Linked DNA regions of Schizosaccharomyces pombe. The protein of the gene in region 1 purifies or fractionates together with the protein of each later gene. This does not show direct contact. Each region holds a gene or a part of one and is shown on either strand. Other genes may lie near its edges. The genes, in order: ctr1 and smd2.

The links.
Region 2: the proteins of ctr1 (region 1) and smd2 purify together in Schizosaccharomyces pombe (affinity purification with mass spectrometry, with the first as the bait; one study listed by BioGRID). This does not show direct contact.

The regions. Positions count from the first base shown.
Region 1 is NC_003424.3:1,894,023-1,907,305, reverse strand, and holds ctr1 (protein ctr1), read right to left. Parts: upstream 5,231-13,283; 5' UTR 4,988-5,230; coding exon 4,100-4,987; 3' UTR 3,465-4,099; downstream 1-3,464. Other genes in the region: SPOM_SPAC110.06 (uncharacterized protein), read left to right, coding at 1,486-1,578; arb1 (argonaute inhibitor protein 1), read right to left, coding at 5,875-6,607, 6,669-6,920, 6,960-6,977, 7,017-7,099, 7,141-7,254; gar2 (nucleolin), read right to left, coding at 8,281-9,783; sdh2 (succinate dehydrogenase iron-sulfur subunit protein), read right to left, coding at 11,015-11,842.
Region 2 is NC_003424.3:4,258,400-4,270,582, forward strand, and holds smd2 (Sm snRNP core protein Smd2), read right to left. Parts: upstream 6,193-12,183; 5' UTR 6,151-6,192; coding exon 6,146-6,150; exon of another isoform or gene 6,089-6,145; coding exon 5,988-6,088; exon of another isoform or gene 5,961-5,987; intron 5,928-5,960; coding exon 5,815-5,927; intron 5,754-5,814; coding exon 5,625-5,753; 3' UTR 5,554-5,624; downstream 1-5,553. Other genes in the region: translation initiation factor eIF2B delta subunit tif224, read left to right, coding at 1-740; iba57 (iron-sulfur cluster biogenesis IBA57-like protein), read left to right, coding at 1,702-1,896, 1,952-2,734; serine palmitoyltransferase Lcb2, read left to right, coding at 3,489-5,300; protein aim29, read right to left, coding at 7,323-7,700; cor1 (cornichon family protein), read left to right, coding at 8,714-8,834, 8,922-9,205; rcm1 (rRNA methyltransferase), read right to left, coding at 10,968-12,155. UniProt on the Schizosaccharomyces pombe protein: Plays a role in pre-mRNA splicing as a core component of the spliceosomal U1, U2, U4 and U5 small nuclear ribonucleoproteins (snRNPs), the building blocks of the spliceosome.

The DNA.
Region 1 (13,283 bases):
AGGATGAAAGATGAAAAGGGGAAAAAAGAAAAAAGCGGAAAAAAAAAGAGTAGAACAGACGAGCTCGTAACTAGCTGATTAGCCAAGTTCGTAACGAAACAAAAATAATAATTGTAATAAAAAATTTTTCAAACCAAGATTGGACGACGATTTGAGGGGATCGATTAGCAACAAAGTTTAATGGAGAAGGAGAAGAAGAAGAAGAAGAATACAAGGCCTTATAAAGAGGGATTCGTTGAAAGAGGACTGTCAGTGAAAGAAAAAAAAACCAAATCACAATATATGCTGGAAAAGAAAAAGCGATAGGGCCATAGGTAACAAGCGACAAAAAAGACCAAAGTTGTAAGGGATGGATGGAAGCAAGGGGGAAGTAGAGCAAAGAAAGAAAACCAATATCTCGGGCCAAAAACAAACTAAAAGGCAACCAGTTTATAGTGAGATTGAAATGGATGATGTTAATACACGATGAATCGACAATACACAAATCACGATCCGGTAAAGAAAAAAATGGAATGGAAAGAGTTGATCAATGGGGTGTATGTAGTGTAGTGTATGGCTAATGTAACTAACTAGATAGATGTACGTATCTAATGTATGGAATGATGGAAATCAAGGATGGATGTAGGGTATGGGAATGAAGATGGAAAGAGGAAGAAGGAAGAAGGAATAAGAGAGTAGTAATGTTGAATTTGGTAAAGGATAAATTCAATTTTCTTCATGCTCCACCTGCATTAACGCAAATACGCATTTTATTAACAACACCAGTAATGTCCACTCTAAACAAATAACAATCAATGCACCTACGTAATAATAAATAACCTCGCTTAAACAGTATCAAAAACAACCACCAATGATAAGGGTGGTAGCATTCCTTTTCATAGTCTATGACTGATGATGACTTTTCATTGGCCAAGAAAAGGCCTCGGCTACCACGCTCCTGATAAAAGGACGAGTGATTGCTATTTTATCTAAGATAAGGCCCCTAATGCTTGGAGACCGATGTTATCATAGATAGACGATGTGGACGATTTTAGAAACGAATTAGGAGGAGAGAGCGGGATCTGGCCAATGTGTTGACAACGGATGATGTAGAAGCTCCGGGTAATGGAAGGATAATTTGATAACTAGGTTGCAGGTAATACGTAGGGGCGACGGGGAGAGAGTGTAAGCATACAAAGGATGTGAGAGAGAGCATAGAGAGTAAGTAGTTGTACTATGAGATTGGAGGGGTAGGAGAGGGACAAAGTAAGATGCAAGCGCATGTAAACAAACAAAGGAACTAATCAAAAGAATAAAAAAAAGGTAAGGAAAGAAAGAGAAAAATGAAAATGAAAATGAAGAAAACAAAAAAGAAAAGAAAGAAAAAAAGAGATGTAGAGGTATATAAATGAAGGAATGAATGACTGAAGGAATATGGACGCATGAGATATATATTTTATCCAAACATTCTAAATATACTCTTTAATACCTTTAAAAAAAATCAATATGAGATTTCTTTTTTTCTTACCTCCCTCCTTCATCACTTCTTTTCTTTACCTTGCTCTCTATTCCTTTCCTGTACCATACTGCATTATTTAACAACTACATTAATAAATCGCGCTTTAAAATATCAACCTGTTTTTATACCGACTTGTTTCTCTTTGGCATAAGCGTTATAGTTATTGCCAATATTCAAATCAATAGCGACAACGCCAAATAAAGACAGACGTGGTCTTTTCGCACTTATGGGTGGACGCAGCTTTTGCTAAAAGAGTCGCTGCACCCCATCTACCCCCCCCCCAAAAAAAAAGAAAAAAAAAATACAAAATAAAATAAAGGAAAACACATTTATTCTTGCTAAAAGTAAACACTTAAATTTTTAGAACTTAAGCAATTCTTGTAGAAATTTTCCCCGACCTAGCTGTTTTTGCTTTATAGTTTCGCTTCATAGTTCGCTTTACTTCCTTTTCATCTTTGTCTCCACTGGGCTTAACTGTACATACCTTTTAGCTGCAAACATACCACGTTTCAATCGAGGCAAAATAGAACGAGAAAATGGCCTAGCAAAACATTCACTTTATCTGTCTAACGAGTGCGCTGAAAAAAAAAAAAGAGCACATTCGGACGAGCAAATTAGGACATTCAACTTTTACTTAGCAATCATGCAAACTTGATTAAAAATTTACAAAAACAGCCAACTCTGGACCTTAGTAAAAAATTTCAAAACTTTTTACTTCATGAAACCCTGAGTTTTATCACTTCGCCCCCTGCGACATTTTCCTGTTTACAGCCAGACATTCTGCTGTTTGAGCAACTTCCTTGTAAACGCATCATACTATCCAAGTGCTACTTTAAATTTTTTCCGTGATCTACATTTATCTGCTGCGCACATTTCACAGGCAAAATCCCTTATGTAGCAGGCATTTCTCTTTGTTGTTCTTGAATTTAGTCAAGCCCCGCAATTTCGAGTGTGGAGACACAAGACCTCATTAGCTTTCAATGCTAACGCATTTTGTGCATATCCGTTATATTACGCTGTTTTCTAATTAAAACTTTTAAATAACGATATGGTAACGGCTTATTACGCCGTATGCGTTATACGCGGTTGGTAAAAAAAATTGCATAGTATATCGTGTCGTAATACATTTTGCACTCCAACACAATTTCACTGGGTTTGGCTGTATAATCAAATGTATGTCATTGCCGAAAACATCAAGAAACGAGTAGAGAATGATGATGGTACGATTAATATAAAAAAAATTTCAAAACGATAGAAGAGGGTTGAAAACGAAAAATAAGTTATACTAATGGAAAAAGCGCACTGAAAGGTATAAACATTAAACAACTTTCGCTTATTTTTCTAATAAACAGACCATTTTTTCTTTTTTGCAGACCTTATTCTTTCGCACTAATATTTAAACAAAAATTTTGTATTTCAACTAGCAAAAATTTCGATAAACAACCAATCAGTTCCGTTTTTTTTATTCTTCTTGCTGAAGTTTGGTTTTTTATGTGTTTACAATTTTCAGCAAAATAACGCACACCACTACACTTCGTAAAGCACCGCTCGGGAATGCTGAGATTGCCCTGAATTCGACAGCGGAATTCAGTTTTACCTTATTATCTACCGCCATTGATTTACTGAAATTCAAATTACAACCCATACAAATCAATATCTTCTAGTGATCCAATATTAAAAACGAGAATAGTAACTTTAATAATATTCTCAATTGTTTTTACAAACGTACACGGTCGGTTATAACTGCTGTTTTGAAAGTCTGAGTCATATTCCTCTGTTTCCTAATTATCATTTTCCGCATTTCAAAACGTATCTTTTAGTTTTGTATATATACTTAGTTATGTTGCTTGAAGAAATTTTGTCTTTCCTTATCAAATTTGTGGTTATTTCCGCATTCACCATTGCGTTTCTTCTGATTTTGCCAACGTTGAGTGCTATTGTCTTGGACATTGTGGTATGCGGATACCTTGCTTTGTACCGACTTTATGAAATTGGAGGCGGTTGCATCCAAAAGCCTTCAAAAGCCGTTCACCCAAAGTCCTCTTAATTCCGTTACAGTCTTAGCTGGCTTTCGAGTTTTGATTCTTTTTTTAATAGATTGTCCTTCTGTTTTTTGTTTTTAAAACATATAAGTTGTTTTCTCCTCTTAATATCCTCAGAACGTTTCTTTGCTTTGATATATTTGGCCGTCCAGTTTATTTTTTTTCCTTTTTCTGCCGCCAATTAAAAAATTTATAAAAGAATGCTTAAGTAAAGCTGACCATCCAACTGGTTATTATTTTTCACTTGCTTGTATACTCTTGCTAATATGTTTTGTGCTTTTTTCCCTATCCTTTCTCCCTTATTAATTTTATAAATACGCAACAAAAAAATGGTTCTCCAAAATACATAATTTAATATTTCACATTCATACTGATTGTGAATTCAATAATCAGAAATAAATAATTCGTTAAAATAAAACAAAAAAGAAGAAAACTACTGCTGTTTTTGGTGATTTCGTGTTCCTTTTTTCCTACAGTACTATTACATTTCTCTGTTTTCGCTAAGAAGCTTTTGTTTATGAGTCGTTATCATTACGTTTTCATTTCATTAGTTTCTACCTCAATTATTAGAAAAATGTTCAGACATCCATCTCTCCCCCAACTTTATTGCATAGTCTCGCTCAAGAAATTTCCGCCGTTCTTCAAGTTTTTTGTCTCGTAAGGTTAACACATCTTCTGTGTTTTTTCTCTGCTGTTGTGTAACCTTAGCATGAATCTCCTTTAAAGATAGAAGTTGCTCTTCTCTTTCTTTTTCGTCAAAAGAAAACTGGTAAAATGCCGTACCTTTATTCCTTACTTCCTTAGTCGAGTCATAATGAACTGCTTGCTGCTCATCTTCCTTCCACAATTTTTGAACCTTTTCTTCGTCTACTTCGAAGGATGGCATATAGTCACCGTATATTGGCTTTTCGGGCTTGTACTCCTCCTTTTGTGAAAGTAGGGTATTACCGGTCTCGTAAATAGAGACACTCCTGGTTCGCCCAAATTCATCCGTTATTTCAACTGTTTCATTTTCGGGTGCTTCCTCAGCCCATTTGCGTGTGAAGTCGACAAGGATTCCATCATCTTCTGTCTCCTTTATTTCCAGTTCTCCGGCAGCATACTGGTCGTATTTTTTAGCTTTTCGTTCCAGTTCCAGACGACTTCTTTGCAACAGCTCTTCCTCATTAGCTTGTTCAGTTTTTAAAGTTCCTTTTCTTTCCTCGTCCTTTCTTTTTTTGATAATATTACTTTGAAATTCCTTGTTGGATTTTCTTTTTTGTTTTACCAGTAATTTCCTTTTGGTCGTCTCGTTATCATTGGCTTCCAATAATTTATCGGTATACTTTTGATGGCTAATCTTGCGCTTCTCGTCCTCGTATCGCTTTTTTTCCTCAATTAGTTCATTAAGGAAGTTAAGATTGCTTTTAGCTGAGACTTGAATTTCGGATTTCTTTCCAACATTCATCTACTCGATACTTCAATTTTTTTAATTAATTTAATAATTATTTTCAATTCTTTTAAATTATTGAGAATGTGTAAATATATCAAAACATTCAAGTTATTGCAGAAAGCCGTAGTTTGCTTACTCCTGTACAAAAATAACAGGTCCAAAAGAACAGCAATTACTTTCTTCAATTCAATTATGCTTCTACAATACACTTAACCCAGTAAAACAATTACCAATTTATTTTCGTCGTTTTGGAGTTGTAAGGTGTCTTTTCCTCACCTGGGTTATTTCGCCATAGGCGCTGCGTTTCGCTATGCTAATCACAACTTCCAATCCAGTTACTTGATTTCTATCTTTACCCAGCACGACTTGTTCAATAGTACAAGTTATGAACGTTATTGATGATTGACTATTCTTTTCCACATAACGTTTTAGCCTTCATAGAGGAAAAATACTTATACACGTAAATTTTTTAATCGTTTGTGTTTACAATTAAAAGTGAATACACATTATAGCTTTAAATGTTCTTTTGATCGTGTTTATTGCATTGAGCCTGACAGTAACTTAAGATTATTGAAAAAATCATCCGAATAATTCTTATTGCTCAATACTGACTCAGAAGCGACTTCTGCACGATCTAGCTTTCAAAATATTGTCGCATAGTTTGACGTATTTGTATAAAAATATTTGAAAACATTAAATTACATACACAAGTAATATCTATTATGTGATTGGGAATTATAATTTCTTATACTTATTGTTTATGCAATTGGGGGAAGTACGAACTCACCAACGGGTCATTAATATATGTTAGAACTTTATCCTCATCACAATAAGAAGAAGCAACTAATTAAAGGATTTCATATCCAGCTATATTACAAAAGTAACTATATTAAAATACAATGCTATTCATCTTTAACTTCTTCATAAAAGGTGGGTAGCACAGCAAGCACAGTGTCTAATATAGTCAGTCCATTATCCAAAAAAGTGAACGATCCCTCTAAGTGAGTGCCATCAACAGTGTTGTTCAGTAAATCAGATTCCAAAATTACTTCTAGTCTTTCCTTATTTGTATCTTGAGAATATTTAGATCCGGGTGGATCCCAAACGATAAACACTGCTTTGCATAAAGATTGGTTTGAAAAATTCAATAGCGTTTTAGAAACTAACTTGACTGTTAAGTACTCTTGTTCAACGACTTTCCCAGTCAAATATCGTGGACCAAGAGTTCTCTGGATGTAGTCGCGCGCTTGCTGTGTAGAAAATCTACTAATTCCATCAGGCTCAAATAGTTCATCATTTGGCATGAATTTGGTATTATTGGATTCAATGAAATTGACTGAACTATCACTTGTCCTATCACTTTGCGATTTGTCCCATAAGCCTTTATAATTGTCAACATGTATACTAGCCAATGCCCGCTGCAATCTACCGGGAAGTTTAGTTGATAGCCTCTTATTAGAAATTAATTCAGTTTCTGCTTGCTCTGCTAATAAACATGCGTCACGAATATTATCTTCGAATTCTGGTGCAACATTGTTATGCAAAACACTTAGCAGAAAATTTCTAACAATTTGACAAGCTATTTGCAAATCCTCTTCCTTAGTTAGTCCAGCGTTATACAAAATGTGTGACGACCTTAAATTGATTAGCTAAAATACAACGTGAATTAAATTCAATGGAAACATAAATGACTCACAGAAATACTCCAGCAACCCACTTAAAATCAATATCATATTCATCAAGTATATCGTATTCAATATAATCAGTCGTGGTTTGAGCGGAAACTTCTCGTGCCTTCGCATCGTTATTAATATCAGTACCCCCTGTAAACTGTTTTTGGCCCGTAGAAACGCCTCCTAAATCTAGATACATTGTAAACAGTCTTATTCTTGTAGGGTCGCTCCATTTTCTGCGTGATCGATATCTTTGAATAAATCGCTCCATTCGCCTAATTTGTCAGCAAAGTCCTTAACATCTGTTTACTAACACAGTCAATGGTATGTTCCTAGAAGTGTTAGTAAGACACAATATTTTGTATTCTCACCTGCTGTATAATGTCTCATTTTCCAATTTCTCTTCAGCTGTCAGTTCGGGTTCTTGAAAATAAGGCTCCCATCCAGACAATCCCTAATATTTATTAGACGGGTTTTCTAAAGCTTAAGAAATACCCTCTTTTTTCTTCTATTACCGAGACTTTTTCCTGTACGTTTTTTAAAAGTAGTAAATTCCACGCTATCGCCAATACAACCTGTACTGTCATTTTTAAAATCACCTTCTGCCATCACTCAATCACTTCATCTGGACTGGAAAGTCAGTACACTAGTCGTATAGTTGATTTACTAGTTTATCAGTGTGGTAAGGGGAATCTAAGGAACCAAATTTACAGTGTTGTATTAGAAGCTTTGTTCATAGAGTTAAGTAGACAGTTCCTTTGCCGGATTTAGTAACGCTGGATATATTATTCTACAACCGTTTTTTGAATATGCCAGAACTCATCACTACTGTTACAATTGAATTTAGCTATATTATAATTTGATATACAAAAATATTTTTTTTTAATTTGCTTAAAATAATCGCAACCAAAGTGTAAGTAAACATGCTTGTATTAATTTAAAAGTTGAAATAGAAGCGTATTTGTAATGTAGAATCAATGATACCTTCTATTGATGCTTACCTAATTTAATAGACGAGACATTACAAGTTGAAGATATAAGACAATATGACAATGGCTCGACTACATTCTTCATTTATGATTACGGGTAAGACCACAATCAAAGTTCAACAAAAAATCATTAATTTAAAGTGCCGTATGGAAAAGCCCAAAAAGGAACACAAAACGGTCTTCATTTACTAGCTATTAGAAAGTGATCAACGATGATTGTGAGTAACATGGATTGATTAGATGAACAAGAACAAAACTAAATAAGATTCTATTTTATATTAAAACCTATCTAAAGCTATGTCAAAAGCTTCTATGGAACGTATAAAGGAAAGGTGAATACATGAACTAAACCGTAGAACAACGCCAACCATCACTGCTTTGAAATTGTAAAACCAACGGGCCCATATTTATTATCTTTATAAAGTCAATAAAACCAAACCAAACCCAAATTCATTCCATAACAAACCCAAACAAGTCATTTGTATTTGAATACTTCAACCCAATTAAATCAAATCCACAGCCCAACATTTATTAAAACCCTTTATGCCAAAAAGTTTCCCAAAAACCCAAACTCATATATTAATTTGCTAAGGTATTTACATTTAACCCATAAAAATGAACTCAATATAGTTAAAAGCCAGTATACTTAGTCAAAAGTGACTTTGTTCCCAGAAAATGGAGCAACCGAGCCACGGTTGGGGTTTCCAGAGCGAGCACCACCTCTACCGCGACCACGTCCGCCACCAAATCCACCACGGCCACCGAATCCACCACGACCGCCAAATCCACCGCGACCACCACGGCTACCTCCACCAGTACGAGGAGTTGAAAAGTCCAAACGACATGGGCGACCAGCAATAAAATGACCGTTCATTTCCACACATTTCTTGGCAGAGTCAATATCAGAGAAAGTAACATAACCGAAACCCTTAAGACGTCCTGACTGAGGATCTGTGGGCAAACGAATGGATTGAATGTCACCGCAACCGCCAAAAGCCGTACTGAGATCATCTTCAGTTGCGTTAAAAGACAAATTTCCAACAAATACGGTATCACTAGGTTCAGATAATTGGTCTCCAAAATTACCCGCACGTTGTTGAGCATATGGTTGAGGGTTGGCTGGGCGAGGATTAGAGAGATCTAAGTTGACCATACGACCATCAATTTCCTTGGTACCATTAGCGGCAACAGCAGCCTTAGCAGCCTCAGGGGTCTCAAAATCAACGTAGCCGTAACCCTTTGAGCGACCGCTTTGGCCATCCATAATAACACGTGCACCAACAATTGTACCGTACTCTTCAAATTCCTGCCCTAACCACTGATCATCTACGTTCCAAGAAAGACGACCGACGAAAACAGTGCAAGTCTCGTTAGAATCTTGAGAAGGCTTGGTAATCTTAGCAGGTCTTTCTTCAGAAGCAGGCTCGGCTTTACGTTTCTTCTCGTCTTCAGAGCTGGATTCGGATTCAGAATCAGAGGAAGAGTCGCTGTCTCCAGATTCTGAGGAGGAATCTGACGAGGATTCGGAGTCAGAAGAAGACTCGCTGGAGCCTTCTTTCTTCTCTTCAGTCTTCTCGACCACCTCTTCTTCTTCCTCAGATTCAGATGAGGAAGATTCGGATTCAGATTCAGATGAGGAAGACTCGGAAGAAGAGTCACTAGAGCTCTCCTTCTTTTCTTCAATTTTTACAACAGCCTCTTCTTCCTCTTCAGACTCAGAGGAGGAAGATGATTCGCTGGAACTCTCCTTCTTCTCTTCAGTTTTCACAATCACTTCTTCTTCAGACTCAGACGAAGAGGATTCAGATGAAGATGATTCGGACTCTGAAGAACTAGATTCGGATTCTGAAGAGGAAGACTCGGATTCTGATGAGCTAGATTCAGACTCGGATTCTGAGGAGCTTTCTTCCTTCTTCTTAGATTTCTTTTGCTTTTTTACTGATTTCTTTGAAGGTTCGGGACTAGAAGCACGCTTAGCCTCCTTTTTAGATTTTTTAGGGGAGACATCGGTTTTAGAGCTTTGCTTTGCAATCTCTTTAGCAGCCTCCTTAGTAATCTTCTTGGACTTGGAAGGTTTCTCAATGGCACCCTTCTTTGATGCAGTCTCCTTCACTGATTTCTTAACGGAGGTTTTATCCTTTTTTGCCATTATATTCACAACCTATACCAAAAGCCCGTTTAAAAGAATTTGGGAGTTTTTTAGTTTGACTGCTGGTACGGCGCGACAAGCTGCTATATATAGCCAAAAAAATTTTTACCGATGATATATGTACCTGAAGCCGTATACTAGTATAGCAAATTTTCTAGACGTATTCGTTAAACTACTAATATAGAAGCTTGTTCAACTACTACTATTTTTTATAAAAGCGAGTTTAACTAATTACGCTATCAAGTAATAGCTATCTGCGCTATTCAACAACAAACCAGCAAAGTAAAATATTCGCCATTAATATTTAAAAAATGAGTGTGTCTGAAGGCTTATAACATGTCTTAAAGGTAAAAAGCATATTGAAATTTAATAAATTGTTGAATCAGTGAAACGAAGGAGTTAGGTTTAGTCTTGCGTAGTATTATCTGGAGTGGTGAATATGTAAATTCTTATGAACGATAACATCTTATCCAAGTTATTTGTGTTCGTCAAATATTATAAACTAAAAAGTGGCCGTGAAAATGTACATTGTTGATCCATTGAAATTTTAAAATCATGTTATAGTAACAAAAAATTTCGACCAGCCTATGGAGAATACCATGGTTTAATCGTCATATTAAGATTTATTTTTCTTTCATTATTGTGTACATGATTTCCGTTTTTATGTGATACTTTAATTAAATAAAAGATGCCTCATTTACTTATCTCAAGTTTTACAAAGCAATTACCTTAAAGGGCTCTCAATATGCTAAAAAGTTTTCAACTCTTTAACCAAAGAAGCAGCTGCTATGTTAAATGCAGTAACTAGCCACAAATAAACAGTGAAAAAAGTGGTTTAGATAATTTTCAAATACATGCTTAATTATTTCATCTGATGTAACAGCGTAAAAAATCACAATCAAACAATTCAATTGTGCACAAGTTACCACGAAATAGCATATTTTCTTTAAAATAGAAAAGTTTACCATTTCCCGAAATTATTAATGGTAAACTAGATTTAGATATTGCAAATAAAAATAAAGGGTTCATTAACGGGAACAACGCAAAAGTAATGGTCAGATCGAGAAAGTAATGTAGCATAGATGACAGCTAAACACAGAGCTACGCAAGTAAAAAAAATCGTAGAAGAGAAACATAAAATAGGTTAAGTAACAACGGGGGTTCCTCTTTAACAAGAAATATTGGAATCATCAGATGCGAAAGAAAAGACAAAAAGAAGCGTAAATCTTGTTTAAGCAGTAGCCATCAAAGCCTTTACCTTGGCAATGGCAAGGCCAGGGTTCAAACCCTTGGGACAAGTACGAGCGCAATTCATAATGGTATGGCAACGATAGACAGACATAGAGTTCTGCATGACATCCAAACGTTTAGCAGTAGCTTGATCACGAGAATCGATGATCCAACGATAAGCCTGCATCAAAACTGCTGGGCCAAGATACTCTTCTGAGTTCCACCAGTAAGATGGACAAGAGGTAGAACAACAGGCACACAAAATACATTCATACAAACCGTCAAGCTTGGCACGGTCAGCGCGAGATTGGTAAAACTCCTTGTCTTTAGGGATGTTATCGTTTTGCAACCAGGGTTCAATACTCTTATATTGCTTATAAAAGTAGGTTAGGTCAGGTACGAGATCCTTTACGATGAAGCAATGAGGTAAGGGGTAAATTTTAGTAGGTTTGTTATCTTTTTTAATGTTACAGATGCAAGCCAAAGTATTACTGCCATTAATATTCATCGCACAAGACCCGCAAATACCTTCTCTGCATGAGCGACGGAACGTTAAGGTAGGATCTTGCTCATTTTTGATTTTAATAAGCGCATCCAAAACCATTGGTCCGCATTTTGTTAAGTCGACTGTATACTTTTGAAGCTTTGGCTTTACTTCTGGTTTCTCTGGGTTCCAGCGATAAATCTCGAAAGTTTTTAAATTTTCACCCTGTGACTGAGGATTAGCAGAAGTGGCAGATATGTTGGCCTCTGTAGCCATCATACGGGCATTTCTGTTAACAAAATGCTTCAAAAACGGGCTCAAAACTTGAATTCGACGGCTGAACATCTCGATATGTTTTGATTTTTAATATTGGCAGTTGGTAAGACTGGTAAAGGCGAGCGTTGTGGTTGGCTATTATAGATGGAAACAGAATCAATTTTATTGGCGGCAGAAAAATACATTAAATTTTTCACTCATATCCAAAATAAAACTTTTAAATATTTTTGTGTATTAAATTTAACAGTTTCTTCAAAAAAAAATCCCCCGTACATCTAAAACATGTATGGGGATCGCGTGTTTACTGGCCTGTCGTAGACAGCGTTAAATTATTTACGCGATAGGAAGTTGGCTAACGTATTACTCGCTTAAGTGCAGTTAGTCAAGATGGTCAAAGCGGTTTATCCAAACAAATTTAGTTAATTAATGTTTAAATACGCATACTTCGAGTTTTAATATTACTTCCGTAAAATAAATATTCAAAAAAAAAACCTATTTATTTGGTAGAACTGTATGACTTTAATCTCGTCTCTTTTCATATAAGGTGCTATTAACTGATTAATAAACCGGTAACCTAATAACCCTTGAGCCGAATTACTGCCAAATTTACAAAACAATCATGTAGATTAGAGTGAAAGGATAGACAGTATGAAAATATTAGAGTCATATTAAAAAATAAATACTTTCTGTAATTGATAATTTAATTAAAATAAAAAACAAAAGTCGAGAAATACAAGAAAATTACATGTTTGCCCTATTTTCAAATTAGGTTTTAATTTAGAGATTAGAAAAACATGGTTAATTATACGGAACTTATTTGCACAAAAACTTTTTACCGTTACAAATCTAATTCATTATACAACCCTCCGAAATCGGAAAGAATATTTTTCTGCTGCTTTTTAATAGGGCTACATCCAACTGAAGATTAGTCTGCCAACCTAATCTTCAAGTTTTCCATTCTTCACTAAAAGCTAATGTAACCTGTTATTAATTGATTTAACATACTAATTATAAAAAGCTGACATCTTAGCTACACACTAAATTATTATTATTATTATTTTTAAATTTTTTTAAAAGCACAAAATGCAGCACATGTAGCAAAACAACGCTATTTTTTTTTTTTGAATTGGGTTTAAAAAATAGTTTACTGTATTCAATCTCAACGGGTCTGATTGCATTTGCTTACAGTTCTATAAATTACTTACTTTCTAATTTTTATTTCATTTAAAACTTACTGAAATATTCATTCGCTTACTATGAGTTTATTTTACATTACGAGCTAAGACGGTGTTAGCTGACCTGGTTGCTTCTATAACTAAACAAATGTATAATGAACAAAGACTTATATACATATATTGATTAAATATTTAAAAAATATCGTAGCTGATAAAATTGTGATGGGTTCTTTAGCGACAGCAAAAGCAAACCTCTGAACTTTGTTATTAAAAAAATGCAACAAATTCCACTGGTAAGAAAAATATCTTCGAATGATCATTTGTTTAGTTATGCT
Region 2 (12,183 bases), 2.4 Mb from region 1:
TTTCTGTTTTAGACATTGACCTTACCGACGACGAGGGAAAAGAATTGCTTCTGGAAAAAATTGACAGTTATATTCGCGATCGTATTATCATTGCAGGACAAGTCATCGTACAAGCAGCAACCGAAAAAATACAAGACGGAGATGTCATTTTAACGTACTTGCACTCTTCGACAGTAAACGATGTTCTCATTCATGCTAAGAATGTTGGTAAAAAATTCCGGGTTGTCGTGGTAGACTCTCGTCCAGAATTTGAAGGCCGGGTTTGTTTGAAGCTGTTGACCGAGCATGGGATTGAATGTACCTATGTCATGATTTCAGCGCTTTCCTATATCATGCAAGAAGTGACCAAAATTTTCCTTGGAGGCCATGCTATGCTTTCGAATGGTGCTCTATATTCTCGTGCCGGTACCTCTTTAATTTCCCTTTTGGGACACGAGTCTAATGTTCCAGTAATAGCGTGTTGCGAGTCTTATAAATTTACTGAGCGCATTCAATTGGATTCGTTGGTATACAATGAACTTGCACCTGGCGATCAACTTGTAAACATGGGTGTGGATGACTTTGAAGAAAAACCTGGTGTACTCGCAAATTGGAAAAGTGTTAAGAACTTAAAATTACTCAGTCTAAAATACGATGTTACTCCACCTCGTCTAATTACTGTATGTGTTTGTGAAATGGGGCTTTTACCTTCAACCTCGGTACCGGCTATCATAAACGAGTTCAAACAGGTTTATGCTTAATTTCTCTAATTTCCTTTTGTTTTTTTGTTTCGTCCACCTCAGAGGTAATTTATGAGCATATCCATGTTTGCTTCCTTGAAGTACCTTTCATTTTCCCTTTGTTATTTCTCATTCCTTTCTCAATGCTTGGAAGATTTGGTTTGTGTGAAAATAAAAAATTCATTATATTTAAATTTACAAAAGTTCATTGTTTACTCTTTTCTTAAAGGAACCTAAACTGTTCTAATTTTTCCATGTAGATTATATATTGGCATTTAAATTGTCTCAACATGATTTTTGACATATTGGTATATCCAAGGGGAGCTATTGGCATGGTTAAGAGTAATGATGTTCTTTTGTTGTATTAATGGTTAATATTTGTAGATGAAATGAAATGAGCAGGGATCGTACAATGTCATTTCATCACTTCATTTCCGGCTATAGTATGCTGATGCTTCGGATATATCGGAGAAAACTTGCAATCTCTTTTTTTTTAAGACACAAAATAGAAAGCTGTTACTCGATATTCAATTTTTTTTTTTTTAAATTATAGAACTGATGTTCGAAGCTGAAATAAAATTTTGCATCACAAGCTTTACGCTTGATGTCAGCTTATGATCTAAAACCTGTAATAATTTAAGAGCGATTCTAGTAATAAACACCAGAATTAAATATTATTTTTTTAAGAAAAGGGAAATTTTGTTCCTCATCGAAGAAAATTCATCTTCAGTATGTTTTGACCTTAGGTTTTTTTCCTACAGTGATATTACTGTATTGCAAACAAATAATAATATATATCTTTATAATATACACTAATAATTTTGCCATATCCTCCTTGGATTCCCCCGAAAAGTAACAAAAACAATGTGATGCGAAATCATCATCTCAACCACTTATCGATTTTAGAAATTCGGTTTACTGTAAAAGAGTCCTATTCTAGCCTCAGGAAACCAAGTGAATTCAAGTACTTTACCTATGGGCAATGAATAGGTTCACCGTTAGGAGCAAGTTTATAAAGTTCTCATTCCAGCTATTTAGAAATTACAGCGTTTGTCTAAATTCATCGAAATCTCTCATTCGTGTTGAAGGAGTTGATGCAGTCAAGTTTCTTCAGGGCTTAACGACCAACAAAATAACTTTAGATAATCCTGTATACACGGGCTTCTTAAATACACAGGTAAGGAGCTTGCGGTGTTGGGTTTAATGATGCGCGATGTATTCTAACTTACTAGGGGCGAGTATTATTTGATTCCTTTATATATCCAAAAGTCTCCAATAATGGCACGGAAAATGAACGATCTGATGAATTGTACGTTGAAATTGACAAGGTTGCAGAATCCGATTTTTTAAAACACCTGAAGAAATACAACCTGCGATCCCGGTGTAGTATAGCAAAGATACCATCTGAAGAATTATCTATCAAAGTAATTTGGGACGTAAAGGAAGAAAGTAGGTTAAAAGATACTGTCGCTTACGCAAAAGATCCTCGCTTTTCCAAACAGCGTTTGCTACGAATGATAGTTCCTACTTCTACATGCACTTCTTCTTCCTCCGGCTCGCTAGATGATTACAAAGTCTTTAGATACCGAAATGGAATACCAGAAGGGCCTCAAGAGATTATTCCTAGTATTTCATTTCCTCTGGAAAGCAACATGGATTGGATGAAGGGGATCGATTTCCACAAGGGCTGCTATTTGGGTCAAGAGCTCACTGTCCGCACCTACTATACTGGGGTAACAAGAAAAAGGATTTTCCCATTTATTATTCCGAACTACGAAGACAATCCATCTCAAGTTATTGAACCTTCGGCGCCGCTTTCAATTGTCGCAAAGCAAGGAGAGCCGGTCTCTCGTCGATCGCCTGGTAAAATTATTGCAATTTTAGGAAAAGTCGGGCTTGCTTTGGTCCGTCTACAATATCTCAAAAGCGACTTGGCATGTAATGGAATACCTATTCAGCTGAACACCAGTATCTGGTTAGATGAGTTATCGTCTACGCCAAGTGAAAATTCATAAATTGAAAAAGTTTGCAGATTTCTCTTCTTTTATTTATTCTTTCTATCAATTATTCATTTTTATTCTACATCTAACTCAAAGCTAATTTGCGCATTCTCCCACTCAGTGTAAATAGTAAGAACACATGTCAATTGTATGTTTATGTTGTGGTACTAGTACTATTAATCGCAATTCAATTAAGTAAGAAATTTCGTCTAGCCTAAACCCTTTTTTTTTTACTTGTAACGGAATTCAATGGTGGCAATCGTACCTTGGCAGCACATCCGTCTACAATAAAAATTTGATCGTTTTTTTCTTAATCTAAGGAATTGTATATTTGAAGGAATTTTGTATTACAGCAAAATTCGCTGCGGTTCGTTATAGGGGAAATGCCGCAACCAAAGAGAGTAGGGTGAAACGTTTCTTTTGCGTATACCTGCCACTGCACTTTTCTACAAGACTTGATTCTCTTGACGAAAAAGGGTTAGATTAACTTCCTTTTGTTAATTAATTAAAAACATTCATTAGAATTCATTTGAGTGGATTGCTGGGGTGTCTCAGGAAAAGATTGATAAGCAGTGCTTCAAATAATTCGCCTACGCTTGTCATTAGAGACTTATCTAGTGTTCTGAAAACAGCGCTTTCTTTTATTTGGTTTATTTCGTTTGCATTACCTTCAGATTAACTTATCGCAAACAGATTTTTGTTGTATCTCGCATCTCAAAAAATTCAGGCTTTAATAATCGCACTTGGACTTCGTTTCACTTAACCAAAAATGGCTCAAGCGGACTTTGTTTCCCCTACATCTATTGATGTAAGTGAGAAAAAGGAAGTTGAGTTTCATAAGAAGGTTGATCATGTCGAAAACCCTCCCCTGTCTACGGAAAGTGCAAAACTCGAGGCTGAGGAAGTTGCTGCTGAAAAGCTAAACTCTGAGCATTTGTTGGAGAATGAGTTTGCTCCCATCACCGATCCTACTCATCGTCGGGTTTCCAAAAATCCTGATGGCGCCGAGCTTTTTCAATTCGAAGATGAGCCTTCATATTACTATGTGGTCGCAACTTATTTAACCTATCTGGTGCTTATCATTATAGGGCATGTTCGCGACTTTTTCGGTAAAAGATTTCATAAGGATGACTATAAGTATCTCAAAGACAATGATGGTTATGCTCCCCTTTACAATCATTTTGATAACTTCTATGTACGTCGTCTTCAGCATCGTATTAACGACTGTTTCAGCCGACCTACCATGGGTGTTCCCGGTCGTGTCATTCGTCTCATGAATCGCTATTCCACTGATAGCAATAGTACTTTTAAACTAACTGGTGATACATCTTTAGCCTTAAACGTTTCTTCATACAACTACCTTGGTTTTGCCCAAAGTCATGGTCCTTGTGCCACGAAGGTTGAAGAAGCGATGCAAAAATATGGTTTGTCTACGTGCAGCTCAAATGCCATTTGTGGTACTTATGGGTTGCATAAAGAAGTTGAAGAATTAACGGCAAATTTTGTTGGTAAACCTGCTGCTTTGGTCTTTTCTCAAGGATTTAGCACTAATGCTACTGTTTTCTCCACCCTTATGTGCCCCGGATCTCTCATTATTTCAGATGAGTTAAATCACACTTCCATTCGTTTCGGTGCCCGTCTCTCTGGTGCAAACATTCGTGTGTACAAGCATAATGATATGACTGATTTAGAGCGTGTTTTGCGCGAAGTAATCTCTCAAGGTCAACCACGTACACATCGTCCTTACTCTAAAATTCTGGTTGTCATCGAAGGTCTCTATTCCATGGAAGGTAACTTCTGCGACCTTCCTAAGGTTGTCGAGTTGAAAAATCGCTACAAATTTTATCTGTTCATTGATGAAGCTCATTCAATTGGTGCTATTGGACCTCGTGGAGGTGGTATCTGTGATTACTTCGGCATTTCTACTGACCACGTAGACATTTTGATGGGAACTTTTACAAAATCGTTTGGTGCTGCAGGCGGATATATCAGCGCTACTCCCAATATTATCAATAAGCTACGTGTTACAAATCCAGGCTATGTATATGCTGAATCCATGAGCCCTGCTGTCCTTGCACAGATCAAGTCGAGCTTTCTTGAAATTATGGATAACTCTCCAACTTCGGCTGGTTTAGAAAGGATCGAACGCCTGGCATTTAATAGCCGCTATATACGCTTGGGGTTGAAGCGACTTGGCTTTATTATTTTTGGAAACGATGATAGTCCAGTTGTCCCGTTGCTTTTGTATAATCCTGGCAAAATCAATGCGTTCTCTCATGAGATGTTGAAGCGTGGAATTGCCGTTGTTGTTGTTGGGTATCCTGCCTGTCCTTTGTTGACCTCTAGAGTGAGGTTTTGTTTCTCCGCTAGTCACAATAAAGCCGACATGGATTATTTTTTGAGAGCTTGTGATGAAGTTGGTGAGAAGCTTCAGTTGAAATTTTCCACCGGTGCAGCTGGTGAAGATGTGGGTAAGACTAACGTTGAAAAGATGAAGAAAAATCAAGGTTGGTTTAAACCTCCTCGTTGGAAGATTGAGGATGTATTGAAGCATGGAGTCCATGATGCACTTACACAGTAATGAATATGCTAGCATTGTATATTTGTAATGAAAATAATATGATTTTTGTGTCATAACCATTCTTTTTTTTATATAATAAATCTCTTAGGAAAGATGGGTGCTACATCTGAAAGCTTTCTGCAATTCATTCGCTTTTTTTTACGAAAGACATTCAAGGCACAACTAGAGAGACACTACAGATGGAGCCTTTTTTATTTTCAAATAAAGATATCTTTAATTAATAATAAAGTTAACACACGTATAAAATAGTTTTTTGTAAGCACATCGGGATATTTTGAAGTCGTTTCTAACTTAAGTATCCATTAGGTAGGAAAATGGGGTATATTATGCAGAGGGAATACGGACAACAAGAACGACACCATCACCACGAAGAAACATTTTGCTAATAAATCTATCTTTGTTGATAGCCTTTCCTTTTTTGCCAGAAGCTGTTCGTTTTTTTTCGGTCCACATCTAAGAATATATTAGCAAGTGTGGATGGAAAGAGAGACTAAAAGATGAAAAAAATTATTACCTCTTTGACATTTTCTAATACCATGTTGGAATGGCGATCAAATGCCTTTACTCTAGCAAGCAACTTTTTATTGTTTCGACAATTAATAAGAACTTGATCATGATTTTTTACCGCTAAAACAGAAGAGCCATTAGTATGTAAATTTAAAATTGACATTCTATCATATAGTATACCTTGTTGTAAAACACTTAATGGACCAGCAGAGAATTCATATTCTTCTAGACGAGCGAGTTCTATTTCGCTCAGTTCACTTCTAGGTTTATCAACCAAATCGCTAAATTATTAGAAAAAAGAAATCAAAAAATTTTAGATAAAAGGACAAAAGACATACGCCATTAGAACGATACAAGCTAGGAATATCAAAAATGGTAGAATTTTAAGTCTCTTGGGGGTCAAGGACAAGTGCTATTTAACGAGCAAGTTCAAGATTGCACAAAATGGATTTCAAGTTAGAAGCGAAATGTTGAAAATCAATTTCGGTTCAATATTTTACTATATCTTATTATTAATTAAAAAAAATCTTTTAATCACACACTTTAACTCATACCTGACAACTTTCAATGTGGGATATAAAAAACTGAATGCATTGTAATTGTTTATTGATTATAACATTAGAAGTATAATTGGACTACTTAATCACAAAATCCCTAAGGTCTCATAAACTAACTATCCTTTCAAATGCAAAGTCATTGAATTGAAGGATGAACACTAGCTACTTATGGAAATTAAGCTGAATAGACAAGCTTGTAGTTTTAGGAGTTTACTTTGATAATAAAAAAAATATATTCTAACACCAAAAACAATATTTTCTTAACATAAAGCAATGCTTTTGTGAAATCAACCATTTGAGCATTGGAAACTTCCTATCAAAAATTACATAGAAATTTTTGATTTTGGCTATATAAATTACATTTCATGATAAATGTACAGCTAAAGTCACTATGTCCGAGTGGTTAAGGAGTTAGACTTGAATCCTGTATTCTAGTCATCTAATGGGCTTTGCCCGCGCAGGTTCAAATCCTGCTGGTGACGGTATTTGTGCGCGGTAGGAGAGTGGAACTCCGACGGGCTCATAACCCGTAGGTCCCAGGATCGAAACCTGGCCGCGCAACTCTTTTTTTGCTTGTTTTTAAAATAACTTTTTATTAAGTATTGGTGTAGCGTTTTGATGAATGAGAAATGTTTTGTTCTTATATAAATATGTAGATAGGGACGTCCTTGGTGCTATTGGTACCAAGTCATAAAGTCGATGTTTACAACATTTGGTTTAAAATGCGTATTGTTTTGTATCATTTATTATTCTACATACTTTTGCTCACTACAATGCATTCTGCTATTGTCAATACATGAATTGCAACAGCGACCTAGGTAATTTTAAATAGTTGCACTAATAAAGACATCAGGAATTTTTTAGCGTAGTTTGAAAAATATTCAATTTAAATAACAAAGGTAAACTCATCTCCTATTCCTAACACCAACAATTGAACTCTTAATAAAGTTATGCATGTCTAAAGCCATTTTTGTACAGGATTTGCTTGATAGGCCTTGTAGGCAGCAAGTTCAAAGTAGGACAACTCAGTTTCATTTTCAATTCCACAAAGAGACAATGTTTTGGCTCCATCATTAAGAATCCAATCATCGTGGTCTAAATTAATAGCCAAGTTTTGGGTTTTGTGCTGCTGGGCTTTCACATAAATCTTCAACGTGTCAAAATGGGTAGTACGGTAGATTTTCAATGAGGGATCCGTTTGTATGCGTTCATCGATGATTTTTTTGAACTGGTCTACAGTCGTAGTGGCCAGATCTATGTCGTGGAAAACGACGTTTTTCAGTGTCCGATATTCAAAGTTGCGAATTACTCGAACAGTTAACGTTGCGCCCGTCATCCTTTTGAAAGATTTAAATAAAACCAAAGAGTAAAAAAGTACCAAATGATCAATAGTTAAATGACTGTAATTCGATTCTTATATAAGGGTTCGAAATCCTTGCGAAATTCCCAAAAACTTTCAAAATTATTTGTATTCCAAAAAAATGTCACAATAGCTTTTTGTTTCTCCAGAGCCTCACCTTTATGCTTATATTTTTCGTATATACAATTGCAATTTGATTAACACTCGAGTCAATGGTAACTTGTGTAGTATAGAGAAAGAACGAAGCATTATAAATGATTGAGATGTGCACTAAGTGGTACACTAGCAATATAACAAATTGAATTGTGTATCCTAACAGCTAAAAACCTTCATACTATTCTTCTAGAAAATTTTAATTTAAGAATGAATGTTCATTGTAGAAGCCAATTGAATGTTGGCTGAATTATTGCAAAACAAAAATAGTTTAATATTTGACGACTGTTTACGAAAAAAACGCATAAGAATTGTTTCTACAACTAAGAGGAACAAGTTGATGATGATATTTAAGGATCGAATTATCGTAAAATTATTTAATTCTATACAGTGTGAATAATTGTAAATGTTTTCAACCCAGACTATATATTTTATTAACTAAAGCGGTTTTAAAGCTAAAGAATATAACACAATGATTACTTCTACTTGAAGTGTTTACGTTTCATAGTCCATGCATGCGTCTCTTTGATTTATATTAGCATAGAACTCTTGAATTCACTTTTTTTTACGATCATTCAATCGAAGCCCATTCTTTAAAATAAAAAATAAAAAATATACTAACGTACTAATTGATTAGTAAACATAAAAACCAAACTTCCAGATTTTTCGAGTTCCCTTACCATTTGGTAAAGATTCATGTCAACAGTGCGATTCGAACTTGTGGTCGTTACGATTCGTTCGCTCATTTTACCATCAATGAGTTGTGACAAGTTATCTTATTACACCCATCGAAAAGAAAAGTTTGAAAACTCAAAATAAGTGTCTAAACATCCAAAATGGTGTCTGCTTGGATTTATTTTACCAGCCTTATGCTTACATGTGCAAATATCATGCTTCAGATGTACTTTACAGTGATGTACTCTGATTTGAAAGACGATTTCATAAATCCCATTGATTGTATGTTAAAATAATCACATTCTAACGATATATATTAATGATAAATGTCTCTGATTCGTATATATACTAATCTTTTTCCCTATTTAGTGTCTCGAAAACTGAACTGGTATGTACTACCAGAAATGGGTTTTCAAGCTTTCAGTGCCCTTCTTCTATTATTGTCAGGTGCTTGGATCACCTTCCTTCTCAATGTACCCATGTTGGCTTGGAACGCCAAAATGATTATGTCCAACACTCATATGCACGACTCTACAACCATCTTCAAAGACGTATCCTCTAGACAAAAACGATCCTTTTTCAAGCTGGCATGTTTTGCTGTATTTTTCTTCGTATACCTCTTCCTCTTCGTCAGTAGACTTGTGGACGAGTAATTGTATCGTTAAGTTTGTGTGATTTATTTTCCCTCCTCTTTTAGTGATCAGTTTCAAAGTCAATAGTTTTAAAGCAATTTTTGCGTTGCTACTCAAAAGTTTTGTTTTCTTTTCCTAAATGTTTTTCGTCTTGGTCAAAACTATTTAAAGCCATCCAGATGCAAAAAGTTTCGCTTTTAGCTAGTGCATTTGTCTTGGCAATGTATATTGTGTAGCTACTTCAATACTTGTTTTTATCTCTTGTTAATTGTTCGTCAATCCCATTTCTTTCTACTCGTGGGATCTCGTTTAACGGGGTTTATGTTTTCACTCCTAGAGAGTCTTTCGCCTTCAATTTCCTATGCAACTCCTACTTGCAGCATCTGACCTGTTGCTATGAATAAAATCTTTAATTGCTGCCGAGCTAGGGAATAGTGAGTTTAATGTGCAAATAAAACCACACGAGGTCATATTTGTACTTATAGTGTTTGCCTATGATATGTTGTAATGTAAGTTGGATGTGATACCGTCGTTTTCTGCAATAGTGTAGTTTTATTTTGTTCTCCACGTGTTCACCTTTGAGAGGCTGTAGCTCTGACTTTTGTCATTGCTTTTCTTTAGCATCATTTAGAGGTTTGTAAAATAAAGGATTTCATTCATAGCACTTTTTTATTTTTTTTAATTGACTACGTGTTGCTTAGCTTATTATATTTCGTTTAATTCATTGAGTTATAATGTTGGTTGTTTGCACTATCAGAATGTGAGTGAATGTTATTTCTGAAGAAAGGTAGAGGGATAAGCAATGAACTTAATACAAAAATCTCTGTTGGTCATGTTTTTCACACCATGGCAACTCGAATTTTGAAAGGCTATTTGTGCAATAGTAAATGCTTCTTCGCAACTATATAAAAGCTGAGAGAATTTTTATTATTTACAAAGAAATAAGATCATATTTTTTTATAATATGCGTGCACGCGATGAAAAGCTTTAAAGGGTTTGCAATGAAAAGTTGAAACTTTTGTTTATGCGAATTAACTTATTTATTTTCTATATAATTTATTAATACATATATGTATTCGCTGTAATGGCTTGGTCGAAGTGTTTAGTACTCCCAATAGTGCATGTTCGGTGGTCTCGGGTTCGAGTCTCGCTTTCGATCCCTCGATCTGCCACGTCTGTTCGAAGAGTAGTCTTCGTGGCAACTGGCAGTTAAACCGTGTAGTACCGATGGAGGTTGGAAACAATGCACATCACTACCGGGTCTTGGGCAGTGCGATAGCGATGGGATTCACCTTCGCAGGATGTGCATGGAAGTATAAACACAACGGTCGTTTCTTCTTTTTTTCATGATTGAGCAATACAACATTGTTTGAGAAGCCTTACTGTTTTTGAAATTGTTAAGATAATGATTTGGCTAATCGTAGTTGTTCACATGCTAATGTTGTTCTTACTCTTACCATATAGTTGTTAGGTTAGCGAAAAAGACTTAGTAATCCCTTTAAATACAATTTCATCATTTCCTCAGGCTCATTTAGTTAATGCTCAAATTTAATGATTACTTATCTTGCCTACTTAATATCCATTTCCGATTAGTCCCCGTAAGATGTGTATTTTTTTTTAGTATCCAGTCCTTAACCAAAGCCGTAAAGAAAAAAAAATTAAATATGTGTGTTTTCCAAAAACACAAAAAATTGTCTATAGAAATTGAGATCATACAACGATAGCTTCTCTCACTTTGTTGAATAAGTGCTATGCGATAATTTGTCTTAATGCTTTGATGAATTTACTCTTCACCTTGTATGCGAGCCTTTTTCTTCACTTCCTTCTTTTTCTTTTTGCGCTTACGCTTTTTGGTATCATCATCATTTTTATACATTTTGAAAGTTTCTTGCTCTCTTTGAGGGTGATACAAATTGGCTACAAAAAAACCAATAGTACCTCCGGCTCCTGGTTTACACCGAATCATTCCTTCAGCCATTGAAGGTTGAGCACAATACTCTGGAATTCCTCGAGTTTTCCAGTTGGGTAGAGTTTTTGTCAAAGAGTTACATTTCCAGTCAGGTTCTTGCGACAAAACCTCACATACTACTTGTTCGTTTTCTAAACGGTGCACTGAACATGTAGAATATGTGACATGGCGGCAGTTAGGAAATTGTAAAGCATGCTTTAAAATGGTAGACTGAAAACTACACAAATTTTCAAGTCTTTCGGTATCTTCCGTAACGTCTTGTTCATTACCCAGCAGATAGTCTTGACGACTCACAATTCCAGAACCAGAACAAGAAGGATCAAGCAGGATATGAGTGACATTTCGGTAAAGATCACTCTTGGGATCAGTTAGGGTAAAATCTTGATGTTCGATGGTGACATTATTAGCGCCTGATATTCCCACCATTTTTCGAAGTGTCTGCACTCTTTTCGCGTCACGTTCAAATGCAAATATATGAGATTTTGGAAAACAAGCAGCTAAATGAGTAGTTTTGTTCCCTGGAGCAGCACATCCATCTATTATATCACCAACGTGACCAGTTAGCCCGGCCAATACAGCAGCAGGAAAACAAGATGCCTTGTCCTGAATAATCACTTTCCCCTCCTTGTACAATGAATTTTCAACTATAGGAAATGATGGATCGATGGCTATTAAGTTTTCAACACAATCATCAATATAAAATTTGTCGGGGCCCAGTTCCTCAATTGAACTGACTTTATCCAAGCCTAAACCTTGCAAAACCTCGTCTTTTGTGCTTTTAATGGTATTTATTCGAAGCCAGCGAGGGAGCGACACAGGATTTTTCAATGCCAGCTCCTCATGGCTCTTAACCCCTTTTTTCACCTTGAGTTTGACAAACTCGGCGTTCAGGCGTGTCTTGTGACGAAGAATGCATTCCTTGATAGGACCATTTGAAATGGATAACCCTCGCTTTGACATCAGTAAATCATGGACAAGGACTCTAGCCAAATTTTCTTTTAACTACAATAACCAGGTTAGCTTCAAAAAA